Bombyx mori: one gene and its partner. The protein of the gene in region 2 interacts with the protein of the main gene of each other region in a pairwise test. Links are inferred from orthologs where the notes say so. Each region holds a gene or a part of one and is shown on either strand. Other genes may lie near its edges.

Region 1 (4,164 bases), on a different chromosome or scaffold from region 2:
TATTGCTTCTTAAGGTATACAGATGTCGCTACATTAATCATGGCAGCTTTTGTTTGCCCCTTTTTGTACTATTTTTAGAATATTAATATGAAATATCGATTTATTCACTATCGTTTACAGGGTAGTGGAATCGTTGCACCTACGCAATTATTCTTCAGTCTTATGATATCTTAAAGTTGGCATAAGCGTTCATGGTATGTCTCCTATGCGCTCCGTAGGTTTGTTTTATCCAACCGTTTCACTAACGTTTCAAAGCAAACTATTAAGTATCTACACGCTAGCTTTTGGAGCAGGCATAGGGGGCCTAGTACCCGATTTCATCGAACTCTTCGAAGAGTTTGAAACTTAACCCTTTTTTTTCTTTCCAACAGAGGGTTGAACCTCATACATAAAGTTTCGATGCCTAAGGGTCCGCAGACGCTGGGAGTTGACCGCTGGCCCAATGATATTTTGACAGACCTACTAAACGACTCCCTTTGCAATCTTTCATCCGACGTCCGATCTCCGTCCGGGGTCGGAGTCTGGGCAGAATACGGGTGCTCCCGCGGTCAACACTACAACCAGACTCGCGACGCCACTCTTCGTCGCGAGTCTCGACCGACGGATCGTTGAAGCAATCGTCGCCTACCAACGAAGCCAGGCTACGGTAGCTCGTCATGTCACCCGGGCGGTGCCGCTCGTGTACCCTAGGTCTAGCGAGTCCGAATGTGACATTCCAACGAGCAGGTTGCTTTCCCACAGTACGTCCGGCGACGATGACCATACCACGTCGCCGCATCCTCCAATAGCGCTGGAGTAACGGTAGCGTGCCGCGCAAACTCGAGCCCCTCAGATCGCTTCGTGACCCTCACTGGGAGGAGAATGCGCCATCACAGACCTATCCGATTCCGATCCAGTATGAGATGCATTCGCGAAACAGGTGCCCTTGAACTGTAGTGTCTCTTTGGGAGGCGCTCGGGCAGCTGTTAGCAAATTTCACCCGACCTGTCTGAGTCCGTGCTCGCCCACCAGGTGAACCTACAAACACTTCTGTCCTGAACCTTCTATGTACCGGCTCCGCGGTCCTTAATAGGTCACAACCGTCCGCTATTGGACATCGACCATTCTTCATACACGCCACGATCATGCTGAGCTTATAAATACAAGAGAAAAATAATTATGATCCCAGGGGTTCCAGCCTAAAAAGTTCCAGTTTTGTATACATCGGATTTTTTTTTCTTTTTTAAATTAATCAAGTTTATTCATTTTGGAACGTAGATATATGCAAATTGTTCACGAAGCTGCGTCATAATAAATGTCGTGACGTTAGTTAAGAACATGCTCGTTGCTCGGTATTCGGATCAATAGTGTGTTATCAACGCAGCTGTGTAGGTGTTTACATGCGCGCAGCATTTAGTACTCGCGAAGCGGCGCTTCAATGAGGCCGTCTCCATTGATAACGTCGCGTCGCACTACTGCGCTGTGTTCCATTAAGGAAATGTGAACAATGCCCCTTCCTGATCTACTTAGGCGAGCTTCGAGCTATTTTCTCGGCATCGACTTCGACGACGAGGACCCACCTGATTACGTCGACAACGAAATACTATTCTGTAAGAATAACGTTTGCGTCCATCCTCCAACGATCGCGAGGCACGAATTAGATATCATACATCACCCCGGCTACTTGACTATCACGACTAAAGTGTTTACCGATCAGCACAATAACGCTAAACGTCCGACTTTGTTTTTGAATTGGATTCCGAACTCTACCCTTCGAAAATGTCCGTCTGCGGTTGAAACCAGTCCTAGCGATGAGCTCGGCTGTGTTGTCAACAAACCGACCGCTCCGAGGCAAATACCTTACACACAATCGCACAACGATTCGAACATATCGATAAAGAATGACATTGAAAATGCATTCTCTGATTCGTCGGAGACGACAAGCCTCAATTCTAATTCTGATAAACAGAGCCTAAAGTCTACCGACACTAGGTACACGCCGAACGATACGACGCAAGACGAGCTATCTTCCAGCTCTAAGCCAACAGTAAAATCAATTGATTCAGGAAAAGACAACGTGTTCAGCAGCTTCGAGAAGGAAGAATTGAAGAACGACGTGTTTATATATGATAAACACGTGAGATCTCAGTCTATGACCTCTGTGAACATTACAATCGCTAATCCGACTATAGAAAACGTTGATCTGACCCCTGATTCGCTGTCGAGCGACAGGTATATTAGGTCGCTATCGCTTAGCTCGTGTGACGAAGGTAATCCTAATTGGATGAGCACCCCCGAGTTCTTGGCGCTGAAACACAATTTGGTGTTTCCCGACAGCGTTCATAGCTCGCCGGTCCCACAGAGGCGAGCTCCGTTGAAATGTCGAAGGTGAATATTGTCGTGTGCTTACCTAATATTAATCGTAATGTATAGTGTTCGTGTGATCTTTTTTTTATTTTTTATTGTTTAGATGAGTGGACGAGCTCACAGCCCACCTGGTGTTAAGTGGTTACTGGAGCCCATAGACATCTACAACGTAAATGCGCCACCCACCATGAGATATAAGTTCTAAGGTCTCAGTATAGTTACAACGGCTGCCCCGACCTTCAAACCGAAACGCATTACTGCTTCACGGCAGAAATAGGCAGAGTGGTGGTACCTACCCGCGCGGACTCACAAGAGGTCCTACCACCAGTAAAATAAATAGTGATCATATAAATAGTAAGCTATTCCACAACCGCTAACTTCTTTAACGATTATGTTTTTAATTTAGTTAAATAAGGACTAACCGCACTTTTGACTTCTGAGGCGGCATCACCTTTGACAAATCGGAAGTTTGTTAATTGGCACCTGGTATATTTTGAGTTTTTCAGAAACTTACATGTCTTTAACGTAACGTTATGAACGTTTATAAGTGATCATGTTTGAAAAGTATTATGTTATTAACTCTGGTAATGGCAGGGGCGGCAATAGCGGCGGCTCGTCTGCCTACGTAGGCTAATAATTTAGTTTATAATGCGATTTTGTTGAGTCCGAACTAAATAACAATCTGTGACGTATATAGCTAGTGATTTTATAGGTAATTTGAGTTATAGAAGTTAATATTAAAATAGGTAATTGCGCAGTTAGGAAACGCAAAACAATTATCCATTCGAACCCTGAAGTACCTACCTAGAAGCTTATCAATAAATTTAAATTATAATAGTAATAAACTGTAATCATCAAAAACTCGCGATAAAAATCCGATACTGAAAGAGAGAGAGAGTATTCTTTATTAATACACCAACAAAAGACACAAGCGAAGCGTGTTATTGTTCAGTTTATTGAAATTAACTTGAGATGAGTTAGTGCATTCATGATTACGTAAAATTGTGAGTTGTGATGTGCTCGTGGATCAGTGGTATCATGGTTAAAAATTAAAAAACAAACCTATCGTAATTTATTTATCATGTTTAATTTTGAAATAGCTTTGTTGAAACCTGGCACCTTTCAACGTCAAATATTAATTATTAAAAAAAAAAAACGCTTACATAGTGGAACCTTCCGTATTCGAGCTAATATTTCCATTTGTGCCATTTTGCCGAAACACACATACGAAATATTTGTTTATTTAAATACATATAAAATGCAAAGTTATTGCTTATTTATCGACGCCTAATTCAACCACCCCAGGAAAGCAATAAAATGCATTATTTATGACTAGAAAATATGTAAAGATTTTTCGAAATTCAATTCAAAGAGAAGAGAACTTCAGAGTTTCCTTTTATAGAATAGAACAATAAATCATCTGTAGCTTAATTAAAAGGAGTTTTTTTTAATAAAAATTATAATTAAAAGGCTTAATTAAAAAAGCTTAATCAAAAGGAGTATTTTTTTAAAAAAAATTAAAAATGGGATAGTGTCCGGTAAAAGTTAGTTTCTACATATAATAAACAGGGTGCGTTTACGTCTCTGACCACGATGATAGGTTTAGGTGTTTTCTAATATGATAGGATTGAAATTATATTCGAAGATTTGTTGCGCTATAGATTTTTGTACTGAATTATTAATATATACCGACGCGCATTATCTACGGACTCGATCTGAGGACAGGCGCGAGCAGCTTAAACTACACGTGATTCACAAAACGTGAATTTACTAAAGTCACAAGTATTTTTACTTATTTCATGAAACGTTTTCAAACGG
Region 2 (4,371 bases):
AGCTTCTTGACCAGCTGTGTCCCAAATCTGCAACTTGATCTGCTTGCCATCAATTGTGATCATCCGAGCACCAAATTCAACACCAATAGTGAGATCATGCACCGGTTGGAATCTTTTGTCCGTGAATTGAAGGAGTAAACATGATTTACCCACACCTGGGAAGGAAAATAAACGGCCATGGTAAAAAAACTAAAATAAATAATCTTTTTATGTTATGGCTATAGTTATTTATTTTGTAGTAAAGTATATCTTATATTTTGACAGTATATTAATTTGTATCATCAATCATTCAATTAACAAAAATTAGGGTCCTTATTTTTTGTGTTAAAATATTATTACATATTTTTAAAGAAATATATTATTTGTACAAATGTATTTTTAGGGTGATTGATGGTCTTTGTTCTCTTCATAATAAATTATCAGAGCTATATAAGTCTGTTATAAGAAGAATGTCAAAATTATTCAATATATTTTTCAATCAATTAGTCAATATATTTGATAAGAGCATTGTATGTTGATAGTACACACAAGTGCTATTAATATTAAAAACAAGCGAATGTATTCCAAATATAACTATACTGAGACCTTAGAACTTATGTCTCAAGGTGGGTGGCGGCATTTACGTTGTAGATGTATATGGGCTCCGGTAACCATTTAACACCAGGTGGGATGTGAGCTCGTCCACTCATCTGTGCAATAAAAAATAAAATGTTTTATTGAATCACCCCACCTTATGCTGGATGATAATCAGGGCCTGGTGTGACCTGAGTACCACTATTCACATAACCATATGAAAGAAAATCAAGTAATAAATAAATAAATTAAATATTGCATCAAATATAAAACTGATCTTTGGCAGAGATTAAGTGTTATTAGATAAAAATTTACACTGTCTTTAATATTAAAACTAGTGTTACACTTTCTTATTTGGTATAATTTGTGAGAAAAACATACAATTTGTGTTTAACATAGGTCAGTGCCCACAGAAATTACCTCACCTCAACTTCTTAACAAACATTGTAGATAAATTTTAGATTATATTTAAATTACATATTTTTTAACTAAATTATTTATTTGTAGTTAAAAAATTAATTCAACCTTTAAACGAAAAAACATAAAACTGAGTAGCTCTGGTAAGTACTGAACCTCAGGTGGGCTGTGAACATGTTTGCTCAACTATAACATTTTTTGAAATTACAATTTTCTTCAATTAAATCTCTAATTAAATGCAAAATATGAAAGTAAATATGCTCCACTTTCAATGTTTTCACTATTTCATTGTTCATGAGACTACTTACTACATTGAGTATATAAATATAGTGCATATAAATTTTTAAAATGTTACAAACTCATTCAGTTTTAATATTTATGATGACTGTTTATTGAACTCATTGATACATGTAACAAAACAATACAGAGTTTCGTGCTTATCTTTTTTATTCCTGTCTCTTTATGTATGTAAATGAACTTTGAGAAATAAACACCAAAGGACAAAATGAACGGTTTTATTTATTAATTTTTTATGTATCTTTAGCGAGTCATTTGTCCAGACAGTTGAGGAGGTATCTGAGTTAGTGTCACCATTATATATTTAGGTGGTATTGATAATTGACTTAATGTTTTAGGTATAATCAGATGGATGATAATTCTTCAATAGGGTAGGCATTTTATTGTTATATCTATATAATTAGCTTGTTATTCATTAGATCATTATTTAGTTAGGGTCACTAACTGTTAGGTAAGTTATTAACTACCATATTGAGGTAACCATGTTTGATTCTCAGTCAGTCTTTATTAAAGACATTGGTCTAAGTCTACTCTTTATTATCTTGTGCTATCTTTATTATCTCCAATACCCATAACATATGAGAAAATGTTAACTTGGACCTGTTGAAGGTGTAACATTTATGTTTTTTGGATTCTTGTATAAAAGGCAAAATTAAGTTCAAAATTAGGTAGTCTCACATCCGTCAGAGTGAAGTAGTAGGTCGAATTTACACTCCTATCCGAATTTATCATGCAGTCAGAGATAATATATATGATAATGTAAAATTATATAAAGTATAAATGTGAAATTTTGTACATATCTACGCCCCCTAATTTAAAACTATTTTGCATATATCTTAGAAGGCAGTGCTTTTTTATATACTATGATATGTTATTATACTATGTTTTTGGATTATTATATGATCACAAGCTTAATCTGATAAAAAATATGTTACCTAAGCTGAATTTAGTTTATTCATTAACTATTTATTGATTGAAAGGGAGCTTCCAAGTAGTTATGAATATATATTTTCTTCATATTACAAGTTAAAGTTCATTATTATTATATTATAGCAAAGATGTCAGCTAAAACAGCAAAATAAGATTTTTCTCAGAATTAAGATTGGCTGAAAACAAACAAAGGATGTCCTTGAAATAGCAATCAGACATTGTTTGTTGTTTACTATCATCTAAGAACTGTATCTTTGAATATTAGTGGTTTGCATTAATACGCATTTCAAAATATTCCTTTGAAGATGCGTAAAAGCGTAGGCGGAATTATCTGATAGCAATTACCCTGGTTCCAGCCTATTTACTAATAGCAATACTAAAGAAAACATGATTTATATTTTTTGTTACTGAGGTGTCTCAATGTCAACGTTTTTATATTGCTGTGTATCAAAGCTGCAAATAAACAAAGGTATACACAAAAATACGTCAAACAAATTTCAGGAAATATAATCAATACCTGTGTCCCCGATGATGATGTATTTAAAAAGATAGGCGTATGCCATTTTAACACAATGTTAGTAAACGGATTACAAAAGTAATTTAGTTCCTTCAATAAGTAGCAATACAAAACGAATTTTCAATTATTTCTAACAAAATTATACGCAATTTTAGAACATCTACAGCTGGTTGATTGAAACTTGAATCAATTTGTCATCAATTGTCATTACGAAAGAGGGTTGCCAAAAGTCTATGATCTATGAAAATTTCCGCAATGTTATTTCGAATTTAATTTTCATTGCCAAAAAACCGCTTATGTTTATTGTAATAAAATTAAATTTTCAATCTGAAATGACATGGCGCGTGAATACGACAAGTTTGAGTATGAGTATTAGTGGAATATGTTTATTACCTAATGAAGTAGGTATTGATATCCTAGTTTTTAACGAAGTCATCGTGGTCTAAAGATAAGACGCTTAGTGTATTCGTATCGAACGATGCGGATACCTGTCGCGGTATGCAGATACCAATTTTTCTGGTGAAATGCCTACTTTACAACGTTCACGAATAGCCCCAACGGTGCAGGAATAACATTGGATAATAAAATTCCGAAGCAGTAGAAGTGCGTGGGCTGCAAAAAAATCAAACTTGTAAATATTATAATTTGCATAATTCCTGGTAGTAAGGCGTTTTATGACTTTGTATGGGTACAATCAAGGAATACTGCCACCCTGTATATTTCTGCAGCGAAGCAGGAATACATTCTGGTTACAAGAGTGGGGCAGCCTTTGTACTATTTAACTAAGATTTAGAACTCACGTAAGAAAGTGGGTACCGCCAGGTATTTACTATGTAGATATGGGATCCGGGGATAGCTCGTACACCGATTTATGCAAAAAAAAAACTAAACTTACATTTTTAAATTATTTTTGTCAGATGCCATTCAGTTCTGAAATGAATTTCTTTCCGCAGAGTTTCCTGTGCTGTGAAATGAACTCATACAAGGCTTGTAGCAGTGGGTAGTGGTGCACCTTTGGCTGTGGATCTGGCATTGCCAGTAATCACTAGTGTGAACAGCCATCATTGGGTAGATTGTAAGCTCATCTGCTTTTAATCAAATAATAAAATATCCAAATCCCTATAAGTTGCTGTAAAAAATTCAGAAGCTGAATTGAACCATCGTCGCAGGGTAGACTGGTGGTGTTTATTGCAGTTTATCCACTAAGGCCCAGAGTAGCGTAACCCTAATTTGTGATTGGGGACAATATTGGATTGGAGAGCGACAATATCCGCCGATTGGTTGTCTCATTTAAAGTTCAGCGACCACGTTACAGTATCATAGTTAAATAACTAGAGCTTCTAAATATTAGGGGTTAAAGTATGAGATTTCCGATTTGTACTGAATTGAAATTCATTTTTTTTTTCATTTAACATTTTTATTTAATAAAAATATCTACCATTATTATCTATACATTGTTGCCATCTCATAGGAAGGTCATGGTAGTCCGTTGGAGCAAGGTCTAACAAATATGGAGGGTGACAAATGGTTTCTAATTTCAGTTCCTGTAGAGTTAAAATGATTTCTCGTGCTGTATGAGGTCTCGCGTTATCATGGAGCAATAATGGTGAAGATCGATTCATGAGTCGGGGCTGTTC

What was found.
Region 1: the proteins of GTP-binding protein RAB2 (region 2) and TBC1 domain family member 16 interact in a two-hybrid assay, tested with the Drosophila melanogaster proteins (2 studies listed by BioGRID). The link is inferred for Bombyx mori from reciprocal best matches to the Drosophila melanogaster genes Rab2 and TBC1D16.

The regions. Positions count from the first base shown.
Region 1 is NC_085123.1:4,178,347-4,182,510, reverse strand, and holds the start of TBC1 domain family member 16, read left to right. Parts: upstream 1-1,290; 5' UTR 1,291-1,486; coding exon 1,487-2,367; intron 2,368-4,164.
Region 2 is NC_085125.1:6,240,349-6,244,719, forward strand, and holds the start of GTP-binding protein RAB2, read right to left. Parts: upstream 2,948-4,371; 5' UTR 2,781-2,947; coding exon 2,735-2,780; intron 156-2,734; coding exon 1-155. UniProt on the Drosophila melanogaster protein: May be involved in bidirectional endoplasmic reticulum (ER) to Golgi trafficking. Together with Rab7 involved in promoting fusion of autophagosomes and endosomes with lysosomes, probably through recruitment of the HOPS tethering complex.